Linked DNA regions of Danio rerio. The protein of the gene in region 1 purifies or fractionates together with the protein of each later gene. This does not show direct contact. Links are inferred from orthologs where the notes say so. Each region holds a gene or a part of one and is shown in the gene's direction. Other genes may lie near its edges.

Evidence for each region.
Region 2: the proteins of pop7 (region 1) and rpp38 purify together in Homo sapiens (co-immunoprecipitation; 3 studies listed by BioGRID and IntAct, with this or other methods). This does not show direct contact. The link is inferred for Danio rerio from reciprocal best matches to the Homo sapiens genes POP7 and RPP38.
Region 3: the proteins of pop7 (region 1) and ibtk purify together in Homo sapiens (affinity purification with mass spectrometry; 3 studies listed by BioGRID and IntAct, with this or other methods). This does not show direct contact. The link is inferred for Danio rerio from reciprocal best matches to the Homo sapiens genes POP7 and IBTK.
Region 4: the proteins of pop7 (region 1) and rpp40 purify together in Homo sapiens (co-immunoprecipitation; 4 studies listed by BioGRID and IntAct, with this or other methods). This does not show direct contact. The link is inferred for Danio rerio from reciprocal best matches to the Homo sapiens genes POP7 and RPP40.

Annotation. Positions count from the first base shown.
Region 1 is NC_133182.1:21,869,076-21,876,618, forward strand, and holds pop7 (ribonuclease P protein subunit p20), read left to right. Parts: upstream 1-3,125; 5' UTR 3,126-3,199; intron 3,200-3,560; 5' UTR 3,561-3,580; coding exon 3,581-4,027; 3' UTR 4,028-4,293; downstream 4,294-7,543. Other genes in the region: N(6)-adenosine-methyltransferase subunit METTL3, read right to left, coding at 1-47, 130-576, 1,437-1,624, 2,639-2,741; epoa (erythropoietin isoform L1 precursor), read right to left, coding at 7,484-7,543. UniProt on the Homo sapiens protein: Component of ribonuclease P, a ribonucleoprotein complex that generates mature tRNA molecules by cleaving their 5'-ends. Also a component of the MRP ribonuclease complex, which cleaves pre-rRNA sequences.
Region 2 is NC_133191.1:31,716,819-31,724,864, reverse strand, and holds rpp38 (ribonuclease P protein subunit p38), read left to right. Parts: upstream 1-3,489; 5' UTR 3,490-3,596; intron 3,597-3,713; 5' UTR 3,714-3,726; coding exon 3,727-4,524; 3' UTR 4,525-5,183; downstream 5,184-8,046. Other genes in the region: acbd7 (acyl-CoA-binding domain-containing protein 7), read right to left, coding at 236-353, 982-993; nmt2 (glycylpeptide N-tetradecanoyltransferase 2), read right to left, coding at 6,846-6,866. UniProt on the Homo sapiens protein: Component of ribonuclease P, a ribonucleoprotein complex that generates mature tRNA molecules by cleaving their 5'-ends. Also a component of the MRP ribonuclease complex, which cleaves pre-rRNA sequences.
Region 3 is NC_133191.1:5,090,893-5,098,854, forward strand, and holds part of ibtk (inhibitor of Bruton tyrosine kinase), read left to right. Parts: intron 1-1,874; coding exon 1,875-1,999; intron 2,000-2,086; coding exon 2,087-2,247; intron 2,248-2,563; coding exon 2,564-2,685; intron 2,686-4,897; coding exon 4,898-5,013; intron 5,014-5,095; coding exon 5,096-5,182; intron 5,183-6,991; coding exon 6,992-7,144; intron 7,145-7,962. UniProt on the Homo sapiens protein: Acts as an inhibitor of BTK tyrosine kinase activity, thereby playing a role in B-cell development. Down-regulates BTK kinase activity, leading to interference with BTK-mediated calcium mobilization and NF-kappa-B-driven transcription.
Region 4 is NC_133177.1:26,939,462-26,947,933, forward strand, and holds the start of rpp40 (ribonuclease P protein subunit p40), read left to right. Parts: upstream 1-2,988; 5' UTR 2,989-3,057; coding exon 3,058-3,174; intron 3,175-3,266; coding exon 3,267-3,411; intron 3,412-3,890; coding exon 3,891-3,959; intron 3,960-6,248; coding exon 6,249-6,344; intron 6,345-6,429; coding exon 6,430-6,555; intron 6,556-6,642; coding exon 6,643-6,841; intron 6,842-8,472. UniProt on the Homo sapiens protein: Component of ribonuclease P, a ribonucleoprotein complex that generates mature tRNA molecules by cleaving their 5'-ends. Also a component of the MRP ribonuclease complex, which cleaves pre-rRNA sequences.

The DNA of each region.
Region 1 (7,543 bases):
TCTTTTGCTGAACTGGTATTCAGCAGCTCTAGGATCTCTTGGCTCACCTGACACACAAGCACACATAAATACACCGCAAACATTTAAATCACAGTGGCTTTAGCATGCTGTTTTGCTTCATTATTATACCTTTTTGCTTTGCTGTTCCTTAGTGGATTGCTGGCTCAGTAGACTTTCAATCTCCATATCCAGGTGAGATGCTTGCACCTTATTGCTCCGCCCCTTTTTATCAGCTCCACCCCCTCCTCCCCCAGAGGATGCAGTGAGTTGCGAGATTGAGGCAGTAGCCAATGAGACTGAGGATTTCCTTGGAGGAGAAGGCGGTGCTTGAATCGAAGGGGAGGAGCCCAGGGCTCTTTTTTGATGAGTGATGTCGTCTGCTTTCCTTTTAACGGCAGTTCTCTGTGACTGGCCTGCGCTGCCAATCATAGCCCATAGTTTGGTATGGTCGACTGACGTGACGAGGGTGGAGGACGAAGAGGAGGTGATGGATGGCTGCCGAACTTCAATAAGCTCTTGAGCAGAAAATTTAAGAAGGAGACTTTGAATGCAGGAATGGGAAACTGGAGACTCAGACTGTGAATGAAAATTGAAGAGAAATCACAAACATATTTGAGTCTCTCAATTTATTTAATAGAAACCACTTTTTTAAAAAATAGATTCATTTATCAGCTCCCCTAGAGTTAAACAGTTGAGTTTTAAGAATCAATTCAGTCATTCTCTGGGTCTGGCTGCTTTTAGCTTAGCTTAGCATAAATCATTGAATTAAATTAGACCCTTAGCGTCTTGTTTGAAACTTAAATATATAAATAAATGTCAATAACTTCGATAATATTAAAGCTTTACTTCTCTAGTAACACCAAGACGTGGATATGGCTCTGAACTATACTCTCATTCGGCCATAATAATCAAAAGAATTTTACTGTCGTACCATGGACGCAGCAGGCGCAATGACATTACACAGCACTATTGATAAAAGTAACAGTAAAGTTTGTTAATTGTTATGCCAGAATGCTATTTATTAGACTAATAAGCCTAAAAAATAGCAACTTTTCATTTTCTGTCAGTCTTGTTACACAATGTAACTACAGAAGAGTCAAGCTTTAAATAGGAAAATAATCAAAATACTTTTTTTGAGCAAGATGCTAATAGTCTAATCTGATTCAATTATCTATGCTAAGCTAAGCTAAGCTAAAAGTGCTCCACATAGATATCTATGATTAAAATCGTAACAGTTTAACTCTTGGGGTCTTGTTAAATGAGTCTATTAAAAAAAAAAAAAAAAGAGTAGTATTCCTTTAACACTTTTTGACAATCTAACAGTTATTCTAAAAAAGGGTGGAATAATATTATTAATAATAATAATAATAATAATAATAATAATAATAAAAAGATATGGGTTCAGATTCATAGCTGTTAGTGCACACAGCTCTTACTGTATTTAGCTGGTTGGTGATCGTTAGGGAATCAGTTGGCAGGGAAAGGCTCAGTTCAGAGAGGTATCCCAGCAGCCTCTTCTCTAGCTCTGGGTCTGGAGGATGCTCAACTTCTACTTGTGGAGGACTCTGAATTGCTGGTCCCGGGCTGTCACTTCTTGCAGATCCACTCTCAACACTTCCAACCTCTGTTAAAATAAGAACTGTTAGGAAATTCTCATACAGCAGGTGGCATCATAGACTCACTATTTCGACACCGCTGAACTTTCTTTTAGCATACATTCAAATGTTTTTACCATTTTGATAGTACACTTCTGATAGTATTAGATATTTCCACGTTTAGCATTTGAATTCAAGTAAATAAATCTGATTATATCAGAAACGTGGTTTACAAAGGTAGTTTAATGTTTAGCAAATAAAACAAGAAAAGAAAGAAAACACACAATAACATGCAAAACAGTAAATTATTCATTCATTCATTTTCTTTTCGGATTAGTCCCTTTATTAATTTGGGGTCGCCACAGCGGAATGAAGCGGGATGTCCTTCTAGCTGCAACACAACACTGGGAAAATAGTAAGTTATATAATTTTACATTGAAAATGATACATTAATTATACATTATACATTAAAAATAACAGTTACGCTAATATTTCTCACAGAGGACTGATATCGAACATCTTTAGGTCTAGGATTTGTCAACAACATATTGTTATGTATGTTCTCCAGCTGACAAATAAATTCATACATCACATTTGTCATTAAAGCAGGGAATGGTTGTACTCTTGCCTAACAGAATAATAAAAAAATGAAGCACAATCCTCATAGTCATTTTACACAACCTGCAGCTTAAGGAGACTCTTTCAGCTAAACGTAAAACCACAAAAGAGCTGTATAAAAACAATTACAATTTGCTCTAAAGGGACTTATCTTAACCTGTTATTAATACATAACGTTCTCTCACCTACATATTTGCTTGAGCATACAACTCACGACGTTGCCTGTACATATCATCATTATCTCTTATTTTATTGTTAACGATAAAGATATGCCCTGGATGTTTTACAATTTTTAATACATTTAAAAAGTGATATGATAATAAAAATCATAAAACTGTCTTCTTTGTTTTTACATATCACACAAACAGTTAAAAATACACATTTTATTTTTCAGATATCAGATAATGTAAAATTACTCAACACACCAGTGCCCAGTTGAGTTGGGTCTTTTCTTCTCCTCTGCAGCCTCTCTCGTAGTGAATCCAGCTGCTTTTTGTGCGCCTGGATGTGACTCCATGTGTCCGACATGGCTTAAATTAAACGAGCTAAACAGCAAATAAACAAACAGTACTGATTAAACAGGGGTTTTATGAAGTTTAGATTACATCTAGCAAACTAACGCTGAGTGACTGTACCACCATACACACCGTGCCGCTAAACTGTTTCTATTTTCAAAATAAGAGACACTAACTATATTTACTGATTAGCAACGATCTCGTTCATACAGGTACTTTTATATTTTTACGTATTTTAACTCATATATATTTTTAATTAGGATTCAATTATAACTATTTGATATACGAAATAAAAATAGATATTTCCCCACCAAGAAAAGAACAGTATGTATTTTGTAATCACATAGTGTATTACTTCCAGTGTACGCAAGACGTCTTCCGGAATGAGAGATAAGACAGATCTGTAAATAAGCAGATTCTTTATCTACCAGGAATTAAGCGCGGATCTGAAACAAGCTCTTCTAATTCAAGGTACTACTCTTACTCAAAATCCCAAATTATACATCAAACATTATATATTAAAATCTATATCCACTAACTTAAGTGGCAATGAATTGGAAATGTTTGTGTAAATGAGAACCTGCTTCGTAAACAAAATGTTTCTCGAATGTGATGTGGATGTAATATCTTATTTAATATACAGCGTTATACCCTGAAATATAATGCACGCCCAGTGTATATAGCCATTCACGAATGGATGATTCATATGAGTCGGTTCATTGTGGGGAATCGTTTAAATACATGTCGTTAAAATATAATTCACACATCATTTATATGTAAAATTGTTACGAGTCTTATCTTTAAAACGCGAATTAATGTTCTGTTTGTGCAGCACCTTTCAGGTGATTCGACATGGCTGAGCCACGAAGCCCGGTGTCCGCTTCTGTGCCCCACAATCCAATAGTCCTGGCTGCCCCCGAGGGCTCGACCCTTGAGATGGACCCAATAGAGTTCACCCTCCGCAAGCGACTGCCTCGCAAACTGCCCAAACGGAGGAACGACGTCTATGTCAACATGAAGACTGACTTCAAGGCTCAGCTAGCGAGGTGTCAGAAACTTCTGGACGCTCACAGGGAAATCTGCATCCACGGCCTGGGACTGGCCATCAACCGGGCTATAAACATCGCTCTGCAGCTCCAGACGTCCAGCCAGGGCGCCCTGCAACTCGCCGCAAACACCTCCACGGTGGAGCTCATCGACGACCTGGAGCCTGAAGATCCGGACGAGGCCGGAGAGCATCTGACCCGTACCCGGAATAACTCGGCCATCCATATCAAGGTGTTTTACCCCAATCCGTAGTTTCAGCTTCAGTGTCAATATAATGAATGAGGGCTTCATGAACAATTGTATGACGTTAGTGGCATGTAGAAGTTTTTTAAAGTGATGCATTATTTATGATTTTTTTCTGCTTCAAGACTTTTTTTTTAATTAATTGCTGTGTTATTGAATGTTTTATTTGAAAAACAAGAAAGAAATGTGCCATATGTATTTTTTTCTACTATGTATTTGTGTTCTTGTGTATAGTAAACTTAAATGGAAAGTAAACAGCTTAAATGCAAAGTAAACAGCCCCACCAACACTTTGTTGATTGTATCTTCCTGCATGTGTATGCATATTAAGACAACAATATATTTTAGATATTATTATTATTAATTTTATAAAAGGGATAGTTCACCCAAAACTGAAAATTCTCTCATAATTTTCTTCATCCCTTTACCTGTCAGAAACTTGTTTGAGTTTTTGTTTCTGTTGAACAAGAAATAAGAAGAAAATTTACAAAACTGTGACCATTGACTTCCATAGTGTTTGATTTCTACTTTGGAAGTCGATAGTTACAACATTATAACATTTTTCAAAATATCTTCTTTAATGTTCAACAGAAAGAGGAATCTCATAAAGGTATGAAACCAAGTGATTGTGAGTAAATTTTCACTTTTGGGTGAACTGTCCTATTAATAAGAATATAATGATGGCAAACCAGTATATAATAAAGGTAAAAAAAAAAAATAAATAAAAATAAAAATAAATAAATAAATATATATATATATATATATATATATATATATATATATATATATATATATATATATATACATACATACATACACACACACACACACACATTTAAACATTTTCATCAAATCTATCTTAGTTTTAATAGGAAAAATAAATGCATTTTAATAATTAATTAATAGCCTTGCCAGTACCATGTTAGGCTCCCTTTTGGCTTAAAAAAGGCATCGATTTCTCTTTGACCACATTGCATTTCTGTTTATGATGGATGCATTTAGCATATTACCAGGTATTATCCTTCTGGAAGTAGCCATTACAACACTGATTGACTGTGGTTACAGATAGATGAGTAGCAACAATACTCAGGTAGGCTGTGGCGTTTAAATGATAGTCAATTGTTACTAAAGCACCCAAGAAAATATTAGCCACACCATTTTACTGCACAAAACCCTGAACTACTGAATCGAGGCAGAATAGATCCACTTATCCGTAGATACGGATTGTAACAAGTGGTTATTTGAGTTGCTGTTTTCTATGAGCTCATACCAGTCTTGACATTTCCCTCTGTCTTTTGGCCTCAAACAAAGCATTTTTGCAAACACAACTGGTGTTTGCTGGGTGTTTTCTCTTTTTCGAAGCATTCTCTGCAGACCTAGTAATGGTTTTGTGTAAATCAGCAGCTACTGAAATTCTCAGACCAGACTGTCTTGAATCGGCAAAGTCTGATTTGAATTTTTTTGGATTACGTTTACATGCTTCAGTGCACTGAGCTGCTGTGATGTGACTGGCTGGTTTGATATTTGCGTTACGAAGAAGCAAGATGTACCTAATAAAGGGGCCACTAAAGGTATAAACGATAGAAAGTAAATAAAAGGCACATTGTTAAGATAAATATTTTAAAATAATAATAATAATTCATTCATTTTCCTTCGGCTTAGTCCCTTATTTATCAGGGGTCGCCACAGCGGAATGAACCACCAACGTTTCCAGCATAAGTTTTAGACTGGATGCACACACAGCCGCAACCCAGTACTGGGAAGCATCCGCACACACACACACACACACACACACACACACACACACACACACACACACACACACACACACACAAAAACAACCAATTTAGTTCATCAAATTCATTTTCCAGTTCCCATACTGCATGTCTATGGACTGTGGGGGAAACCGGAGCACTTGGAGGAAACCCCTTGTTAACATGGGGAGAACATGAAAACTCCACAGAGAAATACTAACTGTGGTGACAGAGCTAAACACTGAGCCATCCACAATAATAATAAATCTTAGAAATAATTGGAAAATGAGCTGTTTTGTTTTTCTCAAAATTTCTTTTCGCCTATAGATGGTCCTCTAAACTGAAATATTTGGCAATGGTTATTTACAATGGATGCTTTGTTGATGTTCAGAAGTAGACTAGTAATTCGAGTCTTGTTTAGCCATTCTTGATGGCCAGAACTACAAGCCAAGGTGAATAAAAAGACACAAAGATGTGTTCAAAAATATTTAGTGGTGTGACTAAACTCCATCAGAAGAAACAACATGACAAAAATCCATTACTTATTTTATAATCCAGTTATGGCTTAGGCATAATGTATGCCTATATTCCTCTCCATAATAGCTAAAAAAAAGTACTTGCTTTCATATCAAATACACTTTGGAATCACATGTATTTACAGTGTTTTGGTTCATTCTCACTAGAGATGCTTCATAAGACAAAAACTTCCACTCTTCTTGTTTTCACTATGTTTGTAGCTAAGAATAATACTGTGTATTTGAAAACCAAACAGCGTTGTGATGAAAGAACCACAAAAACAGCAAAATAACAGGAAAAAACATCTACAAACATACTTTGTTGCATTCAGACTGACTGATTGACAGATGTAAAAAAAACTGGCTATTTACGAAAGACTACAAACAAGTCCAGAAAAACAGCAACAAAATGTCAACCTTACGACCGTTTCCCAAAGGCAAGTATGCAGCGTCGTGCGTGAAGTGGAAGTAAGCCAGGATGTTCGTCATACGCTAATCAATATTTTTCCTGGCAGCGGTGTTATCTGTACAAGGCCACACTCATCGGCGTGTTTCGGACATGAGCCTCATCAGCTCGCACGAAAGTTTCCAATTCGCTCGACACTAGCAGCAATCTAGCCCTTCATCCTGTTCACCCCAAATGACCCGTAAGAATTCAGAATTACAACCATCCTCTCCTGACGTCCGACACATCCATTCTCAGCATTCTCAAAAATCACACACACACACCCACACATACATCCACGAAAATTAATAGAAACCTACAGTGCATAATTAATAACGATAAATAGTTGTCTCTATCAACAGTTGGAGGTGCTTGAGGCCATGGTAGATGGAGAAAGGGAGGTCTTTACTTGAACAGCTTCCGAGAAAAACCTGCAGTGATTCCAGCTCTAGGAAATATATATATATAAATAATGACAATTTCATAAACAGTAGAAAAAGAGTCCCAGATAAACCTTCCCAGTTGTGCTGGACAAGCTTCATCAGTCATATGGGGAAAAAGGAGTGATTTCTTGTAGATTTTGGCAGGTGGGTTTGCCGCTTGGCATTCAGGGGGATGTCTTCTCTTCCCTTTGTGAGTAAATCTTTCAAAGTGCTACAACTCCCAGTCATATATTTCCTTTGTAATAGTCCATATCCTGCCTCCTGATATGAGGAGCTTTGATTAGTTTGGCCTTTGCCCTGAATTGTTTATCAGCTGACACCCTGTCGACAGACAGGTGCATTGGCGAGCAGCAGACGCGCTTTTCCCCG
Region 2 (8,046 bases), on another chromosome or scaffold:
AATAATTATTGGAGATAAACTACTACATAAATATAGTTTTCTGTGTGTGTGTGTGTGTGTGTGTGTGTGTGTGTGTGTGTGTGTGTGTGTGTGTAGAAATGGAACAACAGCAAAATATGAGACCTCTTAAAAATTCTCAGTTTATCTGCAACTGATGGTTTAATTTAAAATATTTGGATTTATATAATATGGATTTAAAAACAAAACCAAACAAATCAAATTAATCGGTTCCTACCAATATTAATATCCCCAACAACAGCTTGTTTGTAGAGGCCGTACAAATCCAGCAGCTCCTGGTCTGTAGGTCTGGTCTTGACTTTCTTCACATCCTCTGCATATTGATCGAATTCTGCCTGTAGCCACAAACATCATGACTTCAGCGTTAATTCTCATAATGCTTATCTGCTGGTAACAACTGCAAAAAGCTTGGTAGGTCTGACCCATTTTGCCCCACTAAGCACTTCCTTAATCACTTTGCATCGTGTATTATTCGCGCACTGTATGAAGCCTTTTGTTTTATTGCCACAATGAACTAATAGTTGCATGTTGCCAACATTGTGCCCTTTGTACCATTATAAACCTACAAGCTATGGGTTGCCATGTTGAGGGCCAACTCCACAAGACTCTAATACAAAACGAACAATTTGTGTATAAGATACGCATAGCGCAACTTCATACTAAAGCAAAGATGAGCGACGAATGACGTAACTCACTGACGAGTGCACATCCAGAAGCTGCAGATAAAAAATCTACGTGTGCAATACAAATGCTAAAAGCGTATTCATATAAATATAGCATAGCCTTGTGCATATGCAGCAGAATATGATACAGCATTATAATAATACACCGCGTCATCTTTAAAATCCTACTTATATTTATCCAGCGGTTGGACTTTAAAGAATATCCAAATAGTTTGGATTCATGATTCGTATCTCAATATGTGCAATGGATGTGATATTATAGGAAAGAGCAGTTATGTACCTTTAAAGTCATTTTCTTAGGCGAGTGTTGAGCGGCTGTGATGTCGGCTTGAGCGTAGCGTAGATGCACTGATGAATCGAGTTTACGGTGACACCGCTGTGGGAGAGAGGAGCTGAGCGCTGATTGGCTGATGGAACATCCGATGGTGAGACCCGCAGATTGTTCATCATTTTTAGGGTGAACGCATTTATTACTCATTCGCTTGCACGAACAGCAGGTTTGCGTAACATGACAAATAAAATTATGCATTCAAATGGATTCGAATTAGAATATATTTAAATATTATTCTGAGTAAAAGCAACTGTGAAAATAACTATAGTAAAATCGTGTCAGGCAAAATTAGGAGAGGAATTATTTGATTACAAATTAGCCTCAAAAATGTAACAGCAAAAGTGCTATATAAATAAACATGAATTGGACTAAATAATATTGACTGTTTCATTTTTATAGCTATATATTTTTATATTTTACCTCTCTAGGTATAAAATAATTTTGAAAGTCTAATTTCAAATAAATTAAAATATAATAACATTTAATATGATCACTTATTCATTTAATATGATCACTATATGTATATATTTAGGAACAGTATAGAAAAAAATTACACTCAACATTTATTTTCACGTTTTTGTGGCATGATTTACAAAACAGTCACTTTATTTGTATTGCCTATGACTCATAATCATAAAAGGTAGATCATGCATTACTTTATGAAGTTATAATTTTCCAATTAGAACATTTGTTTCTGAATTAAATACTTCAATTTTAGATAAAAAAAAATACAATTTAAAAAACTCAAATATACACCAATGCTGTTAAAAAAATCCCTAGAAAAAAACAACGGCTCATTATTTTTACCATGATTTACAGGAGACACTAAAATGTTATTCAGACAGTCTATTTATTATAAAAAAATGTTGTTACAATTATTTTATGACATTAATTGTCTTATCAATTACAATTCATTTGATTTTTAAATGGTTATATTTACTATTATTCTTCAAACCTCTTGGAAATAGAGGAATAGCAAAATTGTAATCTTACATTTTTAAAAATAATTTTATGATCACTCATTCTTTTATATAATTACAGTCCAGAGTAAGTATGCTGTTTCATTTTTCATAATAATATCCATTATCCCAAATGAGAATAGAACATTTTCCCGTATTTCAACATTGATTTTAAAACAAGTTGATTTTAAAACTTTATTTGCATTCTGTTTTGTGAATTTAATATGATGCTGATATCAAAATGGGATGTCCTGCCTTTGACCCATAATCATAAAAAGAGAGATCATATATTCTTTGCTTTATGACCTTATTATTTAGGTTTAGAGGAGATACTAAAATGTCATTCAGATGGTGTAACCTCCTGTAAAAACAAATCTTGTCACAATTATTCAATGACATTTTAAGTCTAACAATAGTTTTATATATATATATATATATATATATATATATATATATATATATATATATATATATATATATATATATATATATATATATATATATATATATATATATATGTAATAAAACAAATATTGTTACAATTATATGATGACATTAAAGTCTGATTGTGGCTAATTGTGGATCATTAAGTGCATTTTTAAATGTCTAGATTTACCCATAATCCTTCAAACCTCTAAAAAGGAAAAACGAAATTCCATAAAGGAATAAAAACATGTAATCTTCAATAAAATATGATATTATTTGTTTTAACAGACTAGAATAATGCTGTTTAATTTTTCATAGTTATAAACATTATCCTAGATTACAACAGAAAATTAAACTACATTTCAACATTTATTTTCAAAGTTGTTTCGTAGCATTACCATGTAGTCACTTTATTTGCATTTTTTTTTTTGCAAACTAAATGATGCAGATACCAAAATGAAACATCTTGCCTTTGACTCATAATGATAAAAAGGTATACAGATCATATACTCTTTACTGCCTTTTTTTACTAGCTTATTATTTTCAATTTAGTCCAAACAATACATTTATCTCTTAATTAAGTGCTCATCAGTTTAAAACAAAGCAATCACTATCAATATTAATATTTATTAATCCTCACTAATATTATTATTAGTCACTGATTTCATGCTATCTATGAGCTGTTACGTTTATACGATTTTTAAATTGAAGGCTTGAAAAACATTAACAACAAATGTCATCAATAAAACAACAACAATCCAGGGGTTTTCAGTCATTTAGTCCAAGATAAGTTAAAAGTCCTTCATCAAAGTCTGTTCGTATTGCTTTTAAGTTTGTTGATCCCGCAATACACTCAAAATACATTTTCATTTCAATTTTGAATTTAGGAAAAAAAGGTTTACACTTACAAAACTTGCTCTTATAAATATGAAATTTGGCCAAAAAAATCAAGGTGTTTATAAGATTTATAAATGGTCTGGCCTGACTGTTTACGTTTATGACAAATTACAACCGAAAAGCTCTTTCGGAAACATTCACTAGATGGCAGTGTGTGCATTACAAACCCTGAACTATTAACCACAGAAGAAGACCTTCAATAACAACATGTCTGCACACACAACTTAGTACACGCTGTAGATGTTGAGCTGAGGAAATCTTCATTTCTGGCTAGTTAATTAGGTTTGTATATCATTTTTGCTGTGTCTTCTTGGTTGTTATGAATACTAAGTTGTTTATAGGCTACATGCCTCGTTGAGTTTAACGTGATTTGTAATGCTAGTTTTTGAACATTTCAAGCTTTCCAGCAATAATGTCGACCCCAGCGAAAGGAGCAACGAAGAAAGAAAAAAAGAAGCCGATACCAGTCAAAACATCCCTGAATAACCCGTACAACATTGGCTGGAGTGACCTCTTACAAAAACAACACAAACATTTAATACTTGACACTCTGAAAGAAAAATTATCCGCCACCGGGCTTCGGAAAGAGCGTGTCAGCCGGTTTCGCGATTGGGGAAGCAGAAGGAGGTCCAGAAAAAAGGCATCAAAACCCACCGAAGAGCAAAACCCAGCTTCTGAACCCGCAGAGAGCGTGCAAACCCCCGAGCCGGGCTGGACCAATCTGGCCCTGAGGAAACAGCTCGCCATCGGCATCAACGAGGTCACCAAGGGCCTAGAAAGGAACGAGCTGAGTTTGGTGCTCGTGTGTAACTCGGTCACCCCAGCTCACATGACGAGCCATTTAATCCCGCTGAGTAAAACCAGGTCGGTGCCCGCCTGCCAGGTACCCGGTTTGAGTGGAAGCCTGTCGGAGCTGCTCGGCCTCAAGTGCGTCCTGGCACTGGGCTTCAGACGCGGGTCCGAGGAGTTCGAGAATACGGTCCGCGCCATCACACCGATGGTCCCACAGCTCCCCGTGGCGTGGATTCAGACAGACTCAACACCAACAACCAAAGAAAAGCGCACAGAAATCGGACAGAAGAGGAAACTAGAAGAGCTGTCGAGTGATGCATCTCCTTTGGTTCTCCAGCCTCTAAAAGTAAAGAAAATCATTCCGAATCCAACGAAAATTAGGAAACCCAAACTGAAAAAACAGAAAAAAGTTGTTTAACCTGCATTCTATGAATGAAGAATGTGTAAACACGTTTATTATATTTATATTTTCAATAGTTTGTGATGATTTTGTGAGTGTATTTTACATTGTGATTGGTGGACTGTCATATTTGATGGTCTTTAAGAAAGCTGATCATTTAAAACTACACAATTTTGGCATTTGTAAAGACACCTTTTTTGAAATTTGGCAGATACTTTGGGTATTCTTACCACCAGAGTCGTTAAATTCATAAACCACTGAAGGGGGAAAGAAGTTTAATGTTAATGTTGAGTGAACCATTATAGGTTCACTTAACATTAAACTTCTTTCATTTTTTAAGACAGGGCTGTCCAAACTCTGGGCTGGTGTCCCGCATAGTTTAGCTCCCAACTTCCACACACCTGCCTGAAAGTTTCTAGTATACCTAAACCACTTGATAAGCTGGTTCAGGTATGTTTAACTGGGGTTGGAAATGAAGTATGCAGGACACCAACCCTCCAGGACCGAGTTTTGACACCCTTGTTAAGATAATTCTTCAGAATCTCAAAAAAAAAAAAAAAAAAGAAAGGCCTTTTTCTTAACTTCAATATTTGCTTAGGCTACTAAATACTTGGCTTGGACACACATTTTTATTAAGTATATGTGATGGTTATGAAAAATAAAAAGCCCCAACTGAGTAGCGTTTTACATTTTGGATGCTTTTATTCAGTCAAATATCCATGCTGGTATACCTTGATGTATATTATTTTTGACAATTAGATATTCGGGTGGACTGTCTTGTTTGACATGGTGCTGGTACTTGTTCCCATCAGTTCCATCCTGCAATGGAGTTCAATAAAAATACTGTCTTCAGAAAGAGAAAGCTGATCGTTTAAAACTACACAAGTTAAACGTTTAAAAAAAAACAACCTCTCTGAAATAAGGCAAGTACTTTAGGTGTTCTCACCATAACCCATAAATTCAAAAAACCATACAGCTCGAGGGGGGAAAAGGATTCATGCTCAGTTCATTCAGCAAGCCTTAGAAAAAACATATGCAAACTGACATTCGCAAAAAAGTGCCCTTGATGACGTTATTGAACGAAACCACTGACTGAAATGTGCGACTTTGAGAGGAGTACCTTTCTTTTGAAGCCTGACTGGACGTGCGCTTATTTAAAAGCAAATTGTAGATTCAGAAACATTAAAGCAAACCATGAAAGCAAAACCAGCTTCTGCTGAAGAATAACGTTCACATTAACGTTCATTAAGCTTCATCAGTGATTGTAACTGAAACAGCAAGCAAGCTTTCCTGACCGCATCACCAAAAGCATTAGGAGAAACGCTTATATCAAAATGAAAACGCACATATGATTGTTCAGCTCTTCTTGTGCTTAAAAATAGCAAAACGATCAGGACCTGATCGAGAAAACGCACCAGTCAAATGAGGTTATGGTTCACTGCAAATACTGAGAGAGCAAAGAAAGTGGAGAATAAAATGTAACAAGTAACTTAAGCACAATTCTAAATATCAGAATTGTTTAGCTAAAATGATGATTTAGAAACACTAGATGGTAAAGAACAGAAACGAGTGGGGGAAAAGAAGCTAACAATCATGCCTTCATGAAAAAAGAAATGGAAATGAATTCACATTCAAAATTCGAAATGTTTCTTTTGGACACACAAACCCTAAAACAAAACATCATATTCTTACAAATGCACCTCAGAGCAGTCCGGCCCTTTTATAAACAAGTTGATGTTGTGCTTCAAAACGCAATACATTCCTCCACACGTGTAACCATTTACTCGCTCCGCAAACAGACAGAAACTCAGAATGCTGTATGAATTCAAAGGCAGCTCCATACAAAAGACTTTGGATTTCGACCCATGTTCCTGTTCCGTTGTAAACCTCACAATACGTAATAAATATCTGGCATTAAATGTACAGCTTGCTAATTCACACAAATGTATCAACACTCCTTCATAGTACAAAACAAATGAACAAAAAGACAAAAACCATGGGAATAAACATGTTCTGAGAGAGGAGACAGATTGCATGTTGAGGAAAATAAACACTACGGTTGTGTATGTGTGTGTATCTGCATGTGTGTGTATGTATGTGCAGCTTGTAGATGTGTTTGACCTTGATAAATGTTTCTCACATTCTCAGAAAGAGAGTCAAAGACAAAGAGAAAGGAGGGAAAGCCCTCAGGAACTGGAACAAGACCTAAGAGAGCTGCACAACAGAACTCATTCACTTTGAATGGATGTCAGTTTTTCCTCTTTATATCGATTACGTCCAAGTCTGAGAATTCAAGGTGGACCTCTGAAATCAGTCGGCATCCAACAAGCAGCAGCCAGTTACTGTAAAACAAGGCCAACCTGCGGAGCATGGAGAAGAGAGTTAAAACACACTCCTATGATACTGATTTTGTATGGCATTTGTATGGCATAACCTACTCACTGGCCACTTTATTAGGTACACCTGTCCAATTGCTCTTGTAACGCAAATTTCTTATGAGCCAATCACATGGCAGCAACTTGATGCATTTAGGCATATAGACATGGTCAAGACGATCTGCTGCAGTTTAAACTGAGCATCAGAATAGGGAAGAAAGGGCTGGTCTAAGTATTTTAGAAACTGCTGATCTCCTGGGATTTTCACGCACAACCATCTCTAGGGTTTAAAGAGAATGGTCCAAAGAAGAGAAAACATCCAGTGAGCTGCAATTCTGTGGGCGCAAATGCCTTGTTGATGTCAGAGGTGAGAGGAGAATGAAGAAATTGCAGATTGAAAAAACATTGCCTGGTCTGAGGTGTCTCGATTTCTGCTGAGATATTCAGATGACAGGGTCAGAATTTGGCGTCAACAACATGAAAGCATAGATCCCTCCTGCCTTGTATCAACGGTTCAGGCTGGTGGTGATGATGTGATGGTGTGGGGGATATTTTCTTGGCACACTTTGGGCCTGTTAGTACCAATTGAGCATTGTGTCAATGCCACAGACTACCTGAGTATTGTTGGTGCCCTGTCCATCCCTATACGACCAGTGTACCCAGCTTCTAATGGCTACTTTTAGCAATATAAGGCATTATGTCATAAAGCGCGACTTGTCTCAGACTGGTTTCTTGAACCTGACAATGAGTTGACAGTACTAAAATGGCCTCCACAGTCACCAGAACTTAATCCAATAGAGCACCTTTGGGATGTGGTGGAACAGGAGATTCACATCATGGATGTGCAGCCGACAAACCTGCAGTAACTGCGCGATGCTAATATGTCATTATGGACCAAGACGAATATTTCCAGTACCTTGTTGAATCCACTCTACAAAGAATTAAGGCAGTTCCTAAGGCAAAAATGATCTAGCCCGGTACAAGTAAGGTGTACCTAATAAAGTGACCTGTGTATATTTGAACAGAGCAAAATCCTATTAAAACAATTACTTGTTTACTAATGTAAACAACTGTACATTTAGAGGAAATGTTATAAAATGTTACTGGTTTTTGATGTTGATTAAACATTACAGCATATCAATGAAACAAAAAGTACAAGAATGTT
Region 3 (7,962 bases), on another chromosome or scaffold:
TTTAAAAAAAAAAAACGTGGAATGTTCCTAAAGGCCCGAGACACACCAAGCCAAACAGTTGGTCATGAGCTTTGTTGGGCCATCTGTAAGCATTTCTCTAACTAGTGTGTTTGGTGTGTTTCACATGTTGATTCTAGTCGGGATAACATTGGATCGAGTTGGCCCGATTCAGCATGTAGAACCCATAGATATATACACTAGATATCGCATAGGGACCCTGAGCATGTGTCAATAGCGCCGCCACATTGGTACAGTGCTCCTAGGACAAATATCATTCAACCGCACTAGTCAAGACAGTGTTATTACGTGAAGATGCGGGACTTTAGCGATGTCTACAGGTGTAGTAATGAGGAAACAAAGAAAACAACGCACAAAGGCAGAACATTTCATAGGTAATATTAAGTTTTTTTCTGTTTTTGTATGTTCTGAACTTTTGTGCTAATCAGGTAACGTTATTGATGATGACAGTCACTGCATTCACTATAAGGCAAAGTAGCTCCAACTCGCACTAAACACTCGGCTTATGCTAGTTTTGTTGAATAAAATCAGCAAACAATGCAAAAGAAATATGACAATGAGATGCTGCGCTGCCAGAAACTTGTGTTATTGTCGGCTAACGTTAGTGAAAGAGTCGTTCGGGGGATTCATTCACAAACGAATCGCTCCCTCCTTCAGTATGAGAAGTGAAAGCAGGAGAGGAGCTGTGTTTCAGGACATGATTAGATCAAATTAAACAGGCAGGGTGGATAGTACATTTCTGTACACACAAACACAAGCTTTTTGTCAGGAATGCCCGTGCGATCACTGATCCATCAATGTAGAAAAGTGATGTAAAATTATAATTTTCCTAATTAGAAAAAAAAATTACATACTAACATCCAGGAAAGCTCCCGATCATAGATATATGTGTATATCTCTGGCTTTGGATGGCCACAGTCCTCCACTGAACCTTGGTCCTGCATTCATTTTAAAGGAGCGCTACCCTGTACCAAGATGGCGGTGCTATTGACTCATTCCGTCCAATAGACAACAATAGGCCAGGCGACATCTAATGTATATATCTATGTGTAGAATCAGCTTCGGTTGTTGGCTGAAGAGAGCACTCTGATTGGTTGCTGAATAACAAGATCAAAAAACTAAAGAGGTGTAGCTTGTAAACATATAAAATAAAGAAAGAACACAAAGAGACCAGCTGTACATTTCTCAAATATTTATTAGATATTGCATAAACCAGTCCCTCCATGATGTGTGACAATAACGGTGACGATAGTAGTAGTAAACGCTACAAAAGTAATAAACACTGCTTTGTTTATACTTTGTGTTTCTTCCTGTTTTCTTTTGCGGAATGAGAGAACAGATATCTAGTGCGGAAATACACATTCAAAATTGTTTACCCAAGGAAGTATTTCCTATAATATTTTTTTTTTTCCAATTTGTTTTATTTTGGCTAGAATATTTTTATAAAACTATTTTAAGGTTAATATTATTAGCCCTCTTAAGCAATATTTCTAGTCAAATAGTCTACAGAACAAACCTAATTAAGCCTTTAAATGTTGCTTTAAGGTGAATACTAGTATCTTGAAAAATATCTAGTCAAATATTATGTACTGTCATCATGGCAAAGATAAAATAAATCGGTTATTAGAAATGAGTTATGTTTAGAAATGTGTTGGGAAAAAAATCTTAATGCTCTTGTTTCGGTTGGCTGCGGTCCATTTGGTGTGTTCACAAGCATCTGTTTGCTCCAGACAGGGCCAAACGCAAGCAGACAACACGGTTGCTTTTTGTTGGAGCTTGTTGTTTGGCATTGGCTTGGTGTGTCCCGGCCCTTAAAAGCTCTGTTCAGAAATCCTGACCTCAGTCTGCTCTCTCAGATCCCAGCCATGCAGAGACGGCTGATCACGCCGTATGCCGACGCTCCGGATCTCAGCGCCTACGAGGACCAAGAGTGGGACTCCGCTGTGGACTGTAAAAGCACATCTGAAGCCGATCACTCCAGGTGTGAAATCTACCCTTCCTAAACACTGAAACATGTCTGTGTAGAGCTGTTCATCTGTATACAGAGTGTTCACTGTGTTTAATCTAGTGAAAGTCTGCTAAAGAAGGCCAAGATGAGGGCTAAGAAGAAACCGCGGCGCCGCTCCGACAGCTCTGGTGGATACAACCTGTCTGACATCATCCAGAGCTCTCCTAACGACGTCATCCAGAGCCCTCCTAATTATGTCACTCAGAGCCCGCCCACTCCAGGTTAACTTGCTCAATCTTGTCTTGAATTGATAGTTTACCCAAAAAAGAACATTTACTGTTAGTTCACTCACTCTCAGGCCATTGAAGTTATGGGTGACTTGTTTTTCTTTCAGTAGAAACTAGGTTTTTAGCTGAATTTTTAGTTCTAATAAATCAGGAGGACTAATAAGGACTTCAACTGTTCATTTATACAAGTTAATCTTTGAGAGTTAATGATCTGCAGCGCACACAAACGTCATTTGTACAGGCCTATTCCTGAATAGAAATGCTTTTAGTTTGTATGCTGTATGTTTTACATGATTGTTTTTTTGCGCAGGTTTGGGTAATTCAGTGAAGGCCAGCTCAGTAGACTCTCTGCAGGAGCTCATCATGTCTGACTCTGAGGGCAGTTATATGGCTGTGGGAAGTCCTCGAGACCTGCAGTCTCCGGTCTTTCAGGTGATCACAACACACCTGGGGTCTCATTTATAAACATGCATTCATTGCTTCCCACCCGTATAAATACAAGCTATAATGTACACTACCTGACAAAAGTCTTGTCGCCTATTCAAGTTTTAAGAACAAATAATACCTTCTAGTTGATCATTTGCTATCAGAAGTGGCTTATATGAAAGGCAAAGGACTCTAGAGCAAGATACCTTGACTTTAAATGATTTAATTAGGACAGTAAGGTCTGACTTTGCTTGGACAAAAGTCGTCACTGAACAGAAATAATGTCCAGTATAGAATATAAAGTCATGCTGCAGTGGAGACAGAATGAATATTGTGTCTGACTCCATCATGAGCTTGGAGGACTGCATCCATACATCTCTGCAATGACTCAAATCACTGATTAATAAAGTCATCTGGAATAGCAAAGAAAGCGTTCTTGCAGGACTTTCAAGATTCTTTGCATTCATCTTCAATGCCTCCTCCTTCATCTTACCCCAGACATGCTCAATAATGTTCATGTTTAGTGACTGGGCTGGCCAATCCTGGAGCACCTTGACCTTCTTTGCTTTCAGGAGCTTTGATGTGGAGGCTGAAGTATGAGAAAGAGCGCTATCCTGCTGGAGAATTGTCCCTCTCCTGTGGTTTGTAATGTAATGGGCAGTCCATGCTGGTTCCAGTAATTCTTCTGCAGTATTAGTGATGATTGAGATGCTGTTCAACAGATGATTCATGGGAAAAATCTACCTCTTCCAAATGATCAACTAGAAGTCAAGTTATTATTTGTTGCTCTTACAACTGGGATCAATGACAAGCCTTTTTTCAGGTAGTGTATTAAACCAGTGTTTCTCAACTGGTGGGTCGCGGGAACATTTTGAGTGGGTCGCGGAGTGTGTGATCAAAAAAACAACAAAAGTTTATTATTTAACTTATTTTACTTATATCGGACTTTTATTTTGAAATGCGCGTGCCGAAGCATGCTAAGTGGGACTTTTTTTATTTGCCAGTAACCTTGGTTAAGCGCTTTTGGCGAACTGCAATGCAAAAACCGGCGAGTTTAAGGTCTGTTTTCTTTAAAAATCAGCGATCTCCACTGGCTGAGTGATATCCGATATAAAGTGGGCCTCAGATTGTACAAGAAGCACTGCATTAAATTACATTTCCCCCACCATGTCTTTATAATATGAGCATTTATTTTACCCCAGTATATTTAATGGAGCTTCTGCGCTAGCCTGCTGATTCTGAGGGGCGTGTACGAGTAAATGGCTTTTTTTCTCGTTTTACGCTTGAGCAACTAAATGAATGTATTTTAATGACGTTACAACATCGATGATGTAAAAGGAACCGTATAAAATGGGAAAAAAAGTTCACAATAACAGGTCACCGGAAGTTTATCAGTATGGGAACAACACTAACGTTAGCTCCGCATATACCCTTTTGACATGTGAAATTCCAGCGCAAGTACGACCCCGAATATGTAAAGTGTGGATTTAAATATTTTCACGACAAAAAGGCTTTAAACCTCAGTGTGTCATATGTAGTGAGGTGCTTTCACGAGAGAAATGAAACTTAAATTAAAACGACATTTAGAAACCAAACATCCCAGTTGCAAGGAAAAACCAGTGGGTTATTTTCTAAGACGACTCTAGTAGCTGAGGGCATCACAAAAGTGCCGAACATATTCATGTTCAAAACTAGTACAAGTACATCTTACTGTGCTCACCGTGTAGCAAAGGCCAAGAAAGCCCACACAAAAGCAGAACAGCAAATAACTGCTGATTATTATAAAATGGTTATGATTATTTTAATAATTTTACTTCAGTTTGCTGGTTTCTGTTCAGTTCAACCAGATCAGTGTTAATGTTTTATAAACAGTTCAGTTTAGTTAATGGTAACTGAACTTTTCCGTACACTAACCACTGTTTACAGTATTTGACATTTTTACTCTGTAATATTTCTATAATTTGATACATTTTGTTAAATGAGAGCAATAAAATATTGTTTATTTGTAAGTCTTGGTGATTTTCTCAAAATTTATCTGTCACTAGTTGTGTATGTTAACAATTAAATACAAATGAATTATAATTCCTAAAATCATATTATAATTCCTAAAAATTTGGGTCGCGGCTTGATGACCATGTAAAAATGTGGGTGCCATGGCCAAACCAGTTGAAAACCCCTGTATTAAACAAACTTGAACTCTATGTATTCATGTTGGCAGGATGAGAGACGTGGACCGGCAGGACTGAAGACTCCTCCGGGAACCCCTGTTTTGAAGAACGGCCCTGTGCCTGTCCAGTCTTCCACTCCTGAACACATCCCTACGGTCAAAGCCAGGTGACTGAACTTCTCTCTCACAGCAAGAAGCAGAGACTCCCTCTCTGTTTCGCTGTTATTCTGAATGTTTCTGTGTCTCCAGACCAGCTCCTGTCCTGGACCTCAGGGCCATCATGGAGATGGAGGCGAACTCTCTGAATCTGGGCGCCACTCCTAAAGCCATCAGCGGGTTAGTGGGGAATAGTTGATGAGGGGGCTATGAGTTATTCGTAAATATTGCATGAACATCAGAGCTGTGACTGCAAACCCAAATCTGTCATGTGTCTGGTTCAGACAGCTAAACTGCTTATTGCGGAAATCTTCTCATATTGTGTTATTATGACACGTGTTAGTCATGATAGTTTACACGGAATCATTTGAAACATGCTAGCAACATGCTAATTCATGCTAGAAACATTCTAGCAACATGTTAATTCTTGCTAGAAACATGCTAACAGCATGCTAGTTCAAACTGGAAACATGCTAACAACAAGCTAACTCCTGTTGGAATCATGCTAACAACGTGCTAATGAAGGTCTATTTAATTGTCTTTTCGGCTAAGTCTCTTTATTAATCAGGGATCGCCACAGCGGAATGAACCGCCAACTTATCCAGCACGTTTATTGCAGCGAATGCCCTTCCAGCTACAACCCATCACTGGAAAAGGATGTTTATTCAAATTAGAAACTGCTAACAACATGCTAATTCATGCCAGAACATCCTAGCAACAAGTTAATTCAAGCTAGCATCATGCTAACAACATGCTAATTCTTGTTGGAATCATGCTAACAACATGCTAATGAAAGTTGAATGAAGTGAAATTTAGCATTCTGTACAATATTATTAGCTTGAATTGACAGCCTGTTTAAAGACTTGAGAAACATGCTAACAACATGCTAATTTATGTCAGAAACATCCTAGCAACTAGTTAATTCAAACTGTAAACATGGTAACAACATGCTAATTCACGTTGTAATCATACTAACAACATGCTGATGAGGTCTAATGAAGTAAAATTAAACATTATTTACAATATTATTAATTTGATTGACAGCCTGTCTAAAGACTGGAGTAACATGCTAACAACATGCTAATTCAAGTTGGAATCATGCTAACAACATGCTAATTCATGTTGGAATCATGCTAACAGCATGCTAATGAGGGTCTAATGGAGTGAAATTAAGCATTCTGTACAATATTATTAGTTTTAATTAACAGCCCGTTAAAAGACTTGAGAAACATGCTAACAACATGCTAATTCATCCCAGAAACATCCTTGCAACTAGATAATTCAATCTAGAAACATGCTTACAACATACTAGTTCATGTTGGTATCATGCTAACAACATGCTAATGAAGGTCTAATGAAGTGAAGTTAAACATTTTGTACAATATTATTAGCTTGAATTGACAGCCTGTCTAAAGACTGGAGAAACATGCTAACAACATGCTAATTCTTGCCAGAACATCTTAGCAATAAGTTAATTCAAGCTAGAAACATGCTAACAACATGTCAATTCATGTTAGAAACATGCTAATTCATGTTAGATTCATAATCCAACGGTTATGATTCCATAATTCAAGCTAATGAAGTGGAATTAAACATTATTTACAATATTGTTAGCTTTAATCCATAGCCTGTTTAAAAACTGGAGATTAATTCATGTGTAACCATAGTAAACATGATTCTAGCGTGAATTAGCATGCTAACAACATGCTAATTCATGCTGGAATCATGCTAACAATGCTTATTTATATTAAAATCATGTAGACTCATGTTGGAAACACGCTAACAACAGAATTGTGTTACAATATGCTAATCCATGCGTTATAATATAATGTAACATGCTTTTTAATTTATGTTGGTTTTGACCAACTTGATACTTTTTCAAACTAAATAATCTATGGTGGCTTAAGAAAGCCTGTTGAAAGTAAACTTTAATATCTATCTATTTTCCCCCCGCTCTTTTTCTCTACATATTGTTTGCATGAACTCCAGATCGAGCAGCAGCAGCAAGATCTCCATCATTCCCAGTAAACTGTCCCAGAAGCAGAGGAAGATGTTGGCTCAGGCGTCCAGAGAGGGCAGCACTGAGAGCGTCTCTGCCAAATCACCACCGCCTGCTGCGCCCATCAAACCTGTGAAAACCTGGTGAGAGATTTGACCATTTCCTCTCTTTCCAATTGGTATTAATGCTAAATGTTCTAGCATCTTCTAAACCTTGTAGTGATATTTTGGTAACATTATTAGTTCCATGCCAAATACAGATAATTATTAATGCACAATATTACTTAATGCATTTAAGAATTAAGATAAAATCATAATGCACTATGCATTAAAAATATAGTTTGATCCAAGTATGGTATGTAAGCAAATAGTTTAAAGTGTAACATTTTTTTTAATTATTATTTTAAAATCTCATGTTGATATTTTTCTTAGTTTTTGTAATTTGATGTTTATAATAATATTCATAATAATAAAATTGGTTTCAGCACATAATTAAACAATTATTATAATATTAATTTTTTTTATTATTATTATTATTATTATTATTTGGGTTTAGCACATAATTAAACAATTAATATAATAATAATAATAATAATAATAATAATAATAATTTACTATTATATTATTATTATTATTATTATTATTATTATTATTTGGGTTTTAGCACATAATTAAACAATTAATAATATAATAATAATAATAATAATAGTAATAATAATAATAATAATTTACTATTATTATTATTATTATTATTATTATTATTATTATTATTATTATTTGGGTTTTAGCACATAATTAAACAATTAATAATATAATAATAATAGTAATAATAATTGTTAATATTATTATTATTATTATTATTATTATTATTATTTGGGTTTCAGGACATCATTTAACTTTTTTTTTTTTTTTTTTTTAAGCATATGATGTTATCCATTTCATGTAACAAATGTTTTTTTTCC
Region 4 (8,472 bases), on another chromosome or scaffold:
AAACTCAGACAAACTCACGGGAAATTTAAAAAGCGGAAGTAACGTTACTCGCTGCTGAAGCTCTTGTATTGATGGAGGATTCCGAAGTGCAGATGTTTCATAGGCATCGTCAGAAAAGTGTCTGACGTTTTCCAGGTTCAGCCCCATCATGTCCGCAAACTGCACTCTCTTTCGATTGTGTGAGGAAGATTCGTCCTGATACAGATCTGCAGGCAGAGATTTGGCTCTTTGTCTGTCCATTTGTACAGTTTCAGGTGAAAAGCGTGACACCTGATCATATTTTGACGCGTGTTTTGGTTCAGGCAGAGCCTCGGTCTCGTTTGAAGGTTGAGTTTCCTCATTAGCGTTCATCATATTGAATGAGGCTGCTGTAAATGAGGAACAGAAAGCCTTTCAAATATAACAAAACTGGACCTGTAGACTTTGCGTAAGAAAGATGCTGGACAAATACTACGAGCGCATGAGTTGCGTCAAAGCAACGTCATCATTTACAAACACTTCGGTGATGCTGACCAATAAGCAAAATTGAAATTTAAAAATAGATAGCCAAGGCCTCTTACATAATCGGCATATTGGTTATTGAATAAATGAAATTAAATCAATATTATTATTAGTTATATTGTTATAAGGTTAATCTTAATTCTATTAGCTGTCTTTTGAAATATTTGCTATTCATTTTGATTAAATACACTGTTTTAAGAATAATTGTTTGATAATTTATATTTATCTCAGCCTATAAACGGATGGACAGTATGACGAAATAATATAGCTACTGAAATTCATCGCTTATAATACTAAAACTACTATAAACATAAAGGATGATAATAATAACAAGTCTTTTAAAGCCTCATATGTTACTGTTAACCTAGAAGACGTCCTGTCAATCATTGCCTATAGCGCAGAAACACGATGACGACATGCTGAGTGATTGTGCGCACATGTCAGGGGGAGCACATTTTTCTGCACGTGGATCTGTTTACACTTGATGGCGCAATATATGTATTCTGCAAGCAAAACGGCTTATTTCCTTAAACTGGACAAATATGTGTGCATCAAATATAGGCCGTTGACTGAAAGAGATGATAACATGTCAATGAAAAAAAAATCTATATTAAGAAATAAATACACATATATTTTTTTAGTTTGGGACCTTTTATTTTGTTGTTAAAGGGTGGTGGAGTTGGAAATGTTTTTATTAGATTAGTAAAAGAGGTGATATTGTATTCTGATGTAAAACACTGAGAGGCATTTTGTTTTGTTTGTTCATTTGTTTGCTTGTTGATTTATGTTATATCTGGTACATTGAAATGAGTATGTACATGTTAAAATATAATAAAAAGGAATGGGGGAAAATAACTAACAACGTCTAGTCTATTTCTAATAAATAATGGTAACAAATATAAAAGGATAAAACACCTATCAACTGTTGATTATGAAGTAAAGGTCGTTTTCAAAGACTCTTTTTTTATTAATATACGAAAATGAGAATATAATCACAGTATGTTAACAAGAAATCGAAGAGACAAAAAGAGCAACAATTTTGGAATAAGAAACAACAACAGATAACAAAAAAAAAAACAGGAGGGGTAAATACATTACAAGTTAAAGAAAAAGATTATATAATTTACAAATTTCAGTTGTTTTTAAAGCCTTTTTTGTAAAAGAGTTAGACACTGTTTCAAAGTAATACTGCATTTCAGTAAGCAAAATATAAAAAAAAGGTTTTTGGTTTGAAAATTTACATTTATGGATATAAAATTTTGTTAATAAGACAAGAAGATTAAGAAAATATTTTTTCTTTTTATGTAAAGTCCCCGTTCCATAATCAACAAAACCAAATAAAACATTCTCCCACAGCAAGGAAAATTCCTCATCAACATTCTCAATTATAAAAAGTGAGAAGTCTTTCCAAAGCAACCTAGTGTAATTGCATTGCCAAAATAAGTGAACCAGGGACTCAGGGTGCTGCCCACAAAATGAACAATTAATATTAAGATCTTTTTTATATCGTACTAAAAGAGTATTGACTGGGTATGTACGGTGAATAATTCTGAATGAAACTTCTTTTATCTTATTTGTAATTAAGTAGTTATTTGGGGTGAGCCATATTTTTCTCCAATCAATATCCGAAACAAAAGAATTCCAATAAAAAGTAACATTTGGAACTGATACAGTTCCATTATAAAAAACGTATTGTTTTGTTTGAAGAAGTTGCAGAGAAACAACATTTTCCAATCATTGTAGTAGAAGGGTCTAAAAGAGGTAAAACAGAAGGATAGGGGATGCCTTGGAATAATCTAATAACACCAGATGGTATAGCATCAAATACCACAGCAAATTCTTTAGGGGGGATGGGTATATTGAATCGATTAAGAAATTCGTTATAATTTAATAAATGGCCATTTGAGTTAAATAATTGACTAACAAGCAGAATATTTGCTTCAAACCAGCGCTGAAAGAAAAGAGATTTGTTTTTATATACAATCTTTAGGTTGTTCCAAATAAAATATTTGTGAGGAGAAAAGTTGTGCTTGTATAATAGTGACCAGGCAAGAAGAAATTGTTTATGAAATTGAGATAATTTAGCTGGTATTTTCTCAACATTATAGTTACAGAGTAATAAGAAATTAAGCCCTCCAAATTTAGAAAATATGTAATTTGGAATAAAATTCCAGATTGAGGTTGGATTTTTGAGAAAAATTTTCCCCATTTAATTTTGATAGTATTATTAAATGTACAAAAATCCAGCATATTAAGACCCCCATTCTCAAAGCTATTCATAATTACCGATTTTTTTATATAATGGATACAATTTTTTCCAAATAAAATTAAATAATATTTTATCAGTTATATTATTTTATCGTTTTCAAAGACTCGCGAACTGCTGCTCGAGTTCTGCTGACAGCAGGAACTGACGTCAAACCTTTGCGACAGGCGAAGTTGCCACTATTTTGAAACATTAAACAGGCGCGCCGATGCAGTTTAGTGTAATAAACTCGTTTCTTTATTTCGCTGCTTGATGTAACAACAATGTAAGTATTTTGTACAGATATTAAAATGTCGCCAGAGCTGGAAAAGTGCCCGAGAAACCTGCTGGTGTGCGAGAAATCAAACTTCTTGAATGAAAAGTCTCGGCATGACATCCACGTGTCGAAGCACAGCTTTAACTACAAGGCAAGTTTCAACACGAGACATGTGCTCAGCATAGCGACTTTGATTGTAAACATTGACCGTGATGGTTTACTAAGGGAATGCGTTTCCCGCAGACCTCAGTGCTGATTCCTGAATGCGGGATCCTGCCTGCTAACATCAGCAGTGCCTTCAGCAGCTTCAGCCCTTATTATTTAGTGCGGGACCTGCCTGTATATGAACTGCTGGAAGAAACATTTCTGGAGTCGCTCGTGAAGAAAGGTTCAAGAAATGTCCATTGCTAACGTTTTTGTGTAATACGCTACATAACACGAGCTAAAGACGTATACAGCATTGGTTCATTTCAGATTGTTTCAATGTGTATTAATCCAGAGCTGTTTGTTCACACTAATACTAATAATTAGAATAATAATACACACATTAGTCACATACTGTATATAGAACACAACATATAGAAACATTGCATGCATTGTACAACAATCACAAACAACAAGACTAAAAGTCTTGCAAGTGAGATTGTGAGCAATAAGATGATGGCAGCTGGACTAAACAGTCTTAAACAGTTGTGACTTGTAAGCTTGTGAACTAACATGAGCAAAAACAAAAGGTAGCTATTTTATGTTTACTAACATTAAAGTTAACAATGCTGAAAAAGAATTATTTCTTATTTTTAGCTAAAGTGTTTATGTGAATGTAAGAATCTGTTACTGATTTTTATTTATTCATTTATTTTTACACAGGACATTTCTATGCACTCTCTTACAACACCAAAATTGATGAAGATAATTCCATTGCACTTCTTTCCAGTGGTAAGACATGCACTTGTGCTGTGATTCTAACAAAGCTGCTTTATTTTATTGAACTGAGTTAATCAGGTTAATTCATTCAGTACTTTAAATGACTTTAAATTTGTCTTGCAAAGAAAACCAATAATATGACAACAAGATGACATTCAGACAACATAATATTTTATCTTTATAATTTAATGGAAAGAAATAGTTTTAAGAAGTTAAAGATAATAAAATAAAAATGTAAAATCTGCACTCATCTGCATGAAAAGAATAAATAAAATCTTTCAAACAGAACAAACGAAAAATGTTGAGTACAACAATATCAATTTCTGTAACAGTTTTTAGGCTATATTTTTTTTCGAACAAACCTCCGTTATACAATAACTTGCCTAATTACCCTAACCTACCTAGTTAACCTAATTAACCTAGTTAAGCCTTTAGATGTCACTTAAAGATGTATAGAAGTGTCGTGAAAAATATCTAGTCAAATATTACTTACTTTCATCATGGCAAAGATAAAAAAAATCAGTTATTAGAGATCAGTTATTAAAACTATTGTGTTTAGAAATGTGTTGGGAAAAAAACGGGGAAAAAAATAAACAGGGGTTGAATAATTCTGACATCAACTATATATATATATATATATATATATATATATATATATATATATATATATATATATATATATATATATATATATATAAGCCAGTGATGTTCTGTAATCCAAGCACTGCGTTTATTATTAATAAACAACTCTATAATACACGCTTTTGCTTATTTGTGGCATTCTGAGATTTTTTATTCTTATCTGAGCATCTTTTTCCACTTTATGTCACTTTTTATTGATTATATTGAAATTGAAATGCATTACTTATCAATTAAACACTGTCAAGTGGTTTCAAACTTTGCATTTGTTGAAGACAAAAGAAAAACTTTTTTTTTAAATGCCTGAAACTGGTAGCCAGTGATAGGAGAAATAAATGCGCTAGAAGGCAATGATTACAAGTCGTCAACATTGTTTATAATATCTTTATTCATGTTCAGTAGAAGAAATAAACTGAAACGGGTTTGGAACAAGTGAAAGCTGAATGATGACAAGAGAAAACAGAATTGTCATTTTAGGGTGAACTGTAACTTAACAGTACCATATATTGCTGGTATTGTGCAAAATCAACAGGCCAAAAACATACATATTCCCTAAAATAAGTAATTGTTTTTTTATTTAAACAAATAAATATATTAATGATGTATTGACCTTATTCCTCAATGCAGAAGTGTGCTTGTTTTTGGGATTGTTTTAGAACTTCCGATTCAGTTGCCAATGGTAGAAATTGTCATTTTTGGGTGAACTGTAACTTTACAGTACCATATATTGCTGGTATTCAACAAAAAAATCAACAATGTAAATCAACAGGCTGAATATACATAATCCCTAAAATAATTCATTGTTTTTTTTTTATAAAAAAAAAAAAAATAATGGTTTATTGACCTTATTCCTCAATGCAGAAGTGTGCTCGTTTTTGGGATTGTTTTAGAACATCCGATTCAGTTGCCAATGGTAGAAATTACTACGAATAATAAATGACAAAAAACAGTCAAACTACATGCTCTACAAACAAGTGTGTTCATGACTATGCTGACAAAGCAGAATAATATAATAAGACAATATCAGTGTTCAACATTAAGCAGCAGAATGTTGTTTAAAGTCAATGGAAGTGATTGAGGCCCGAAGTTTCGAGCCAAAAAGACGGCACCCCCTTGTACACGAAAAATAAGGTGAATATGCACAGCTAGTGTTTTTTAACCCCCAATAAATGCCTAGTGAAGGCTATATGTGACTGTTTTAAATTTCATACAGTACCTTTTACAGCATTATGTTGTAATGTAATTAAAATATAATCAGTTAAATAGACTTAAGTATTCATTTAGTTGTTCAAGTGGAAAATGCACAGAGCACAGGTCATGAACACAGAAACACCATTGAAAATACTGTGGTAAAAGAAATGTTCTTATTTTAAAGTCATGGCACAGGACAATGGAATTGAATGCAGTGCTTCTTGTACAGTCTAAGACCCACTTTATATCGTATTTCAGTCAGGCAGTAAAGATTTTTAAAGATAACACCTTAAATGCGGTGATTTTGTAACACCATACTGTTCTACGGAAATCAATTGAGCTGGGTTACAAAAAAATTAAAAGTCCATCTGCATTAACCCTATTTGGTTTAATGATTTGAAAATGTTATTAATAATTCCATATTATAAAGTTTTTAGTATCCATGTTGATTTGCCACATTTCTCCCCCCAGGTCAGTTCATTTTGTCTTTAAATAAAGACACGTACGAGCAACTTGGCTTGGAGGGCCGACCATCCCAGTATAATCACAGAAAGGCTCTGAGATTTGGTAAATTTCTTTACTCTGAGCAGCATGAAATGAACTACTATTCATTAAACAGTATTACAATTCTTCAATGTCTTTATTTTTGTAGTTGTGACTCTTGACCTCACGGATAAAAGCTTGGCTCCAGGCACCAAACGATACCAGCGGGTTCTGTCATCTTTAAAAGACAGACTTCCACTCAAATATGACTTTCTTTTCACCAAGTACAACACAGGTTTGTAGGGAATGCATTATTACCATCACTGGCTTTTGTGATGGATTTTTCATTTGCGTTTGCTGTTTGTATTCTAAACCTTATCAGGTTCTGATGAAGACGAAGTTCTTCATGCGCTGCTGTCCCGTTACACATACAAGGAGCACAAGCCTGTTTTCAGCCAGCACATCCTGAAAAATATTCAGTGTCCCACACTTTACCCATCGGATATACAAGGAAAGACGCTGTCATGTGACCCACATCGTTTCTTGGAGTGGCTTGGAGCAGTTAATCTGGATATTAATTGGTGAGTGAGCTTAGAAATAATTTTAAAGACTAAATGCACAGAAACCAGTCATCGTGTCATGATGAGTTCTTGTATAATTGTCTTCTATTGTTTGTTGAAATCTTATTTTCAACTTCAAGTCAGATGTTGCTTTGTTTCCAATCAAATTTGTAAATTTTAACAGGAAAAAATGGAATATCATCTTATTCAATTGATAGTTGACCCCAAAGTGAAAATTCTGCCATCACTTACTCCTCCATCCTCCACTTGATCCACTTTAGTTTTTTCCTCTTCTGCTGAACATGGTGGAAGATATACTGAAGCATGTTGGAAAAAACAGCCATTGGCTTCCATAGATTATATGGGTTATATACAGGGCTGGAGTGGGACTCTTTTTCAGCCCTGGAGTTTCAAGCCTTAGACCGGCCCACCTCTGTTCACCACTGACTATATTAAAATAAGGTCATTTTCAATTCAGTTTCTAATTACACTATCAAGTCTTTTTTTGAGAAAACAGCTGTTTTAGAACTTCAAATGTTCAACAACCCTTACAGTATTATATGTCTTATCAATAAAAATGGAAAAAAAAAAATTATCCCCCAGACGAGGTCCGAACCCGGGTTGGTGGTATTAACCACTGTACCACAACAGCTGTACACTGAATGGTGACTTATCTAGGTATATCAACATTAACCTGCAGGCTAAAAAGATAAAAAGATTAAAAGAGCAGAGCTGCGGTAAAATAATGAATAAGAAGGCTGTGGTCAAGTAAATAAATAAATTATTTTTAAAAAGTGTGACTGCTGATAGCAACAGATTCTGGAGCTAGGAACACCGGCCCTCGCAGCCAACAAACTGACCGGCCCACCGGGAATTCTCCCAGTCCTCCCGATTAGCCAATCCGGGCCTGGTTATATAACTATATATATATATATATATATATATATATATATATATATAAATATAGTTAAAGTCAGAATGATTAGCCCCCCTGAATTATGAGCCATGTTTATTTTTTTTCCCAATTTCTGTTTAACGGAGAGAAGATTTTTTTCACCACATTTCTAAACATTAGTTTTAATAACTATTTATTTTTTTAATACCGGATTTGTTTTATCTTTGCCATGATGACAGTAAAAAATATTTGACTAGATATTTTTCAAGACACTTCTATACAGCTTAAAGTGACATTTAAAGGCTTAACTAGGTCAATTAGGTTAACTAGGCAGGTTAGGGTAATTAGGCAAGTTATTGTGTAGCGGTTGTTTGTTCTGTAGACTATCAAAAAAAAAAAAAAAGCTTAAAGGGCCTAATAATTTTGACCTTAATGGTGTCTTAATGTATAAATCCATAGGAAAAGAGAATTGCAAGCTGCTCAAGCCCCCCTGCTCGCATTCACTGATTTTCAATGTCTGGAATAGACATTTTTTAAAATTCCCTGACCTGTGGAAACCTTTTCTTACTGTTCGCATACCGAGTCAGCGTAAAGTATTCAAGCACATGAAAAGAGAACATTTGTAGCTGTAAAAAAGATAAAGCCGCTTTATACGGTGAAGACTCTCCAGTTTCATTTATTTAATTTCTGCACCTGAATGCTGTTAGTAATCTTTATTCCAGTTACATTTTAGTTTGTAGTGTAATGAACAGTTCAT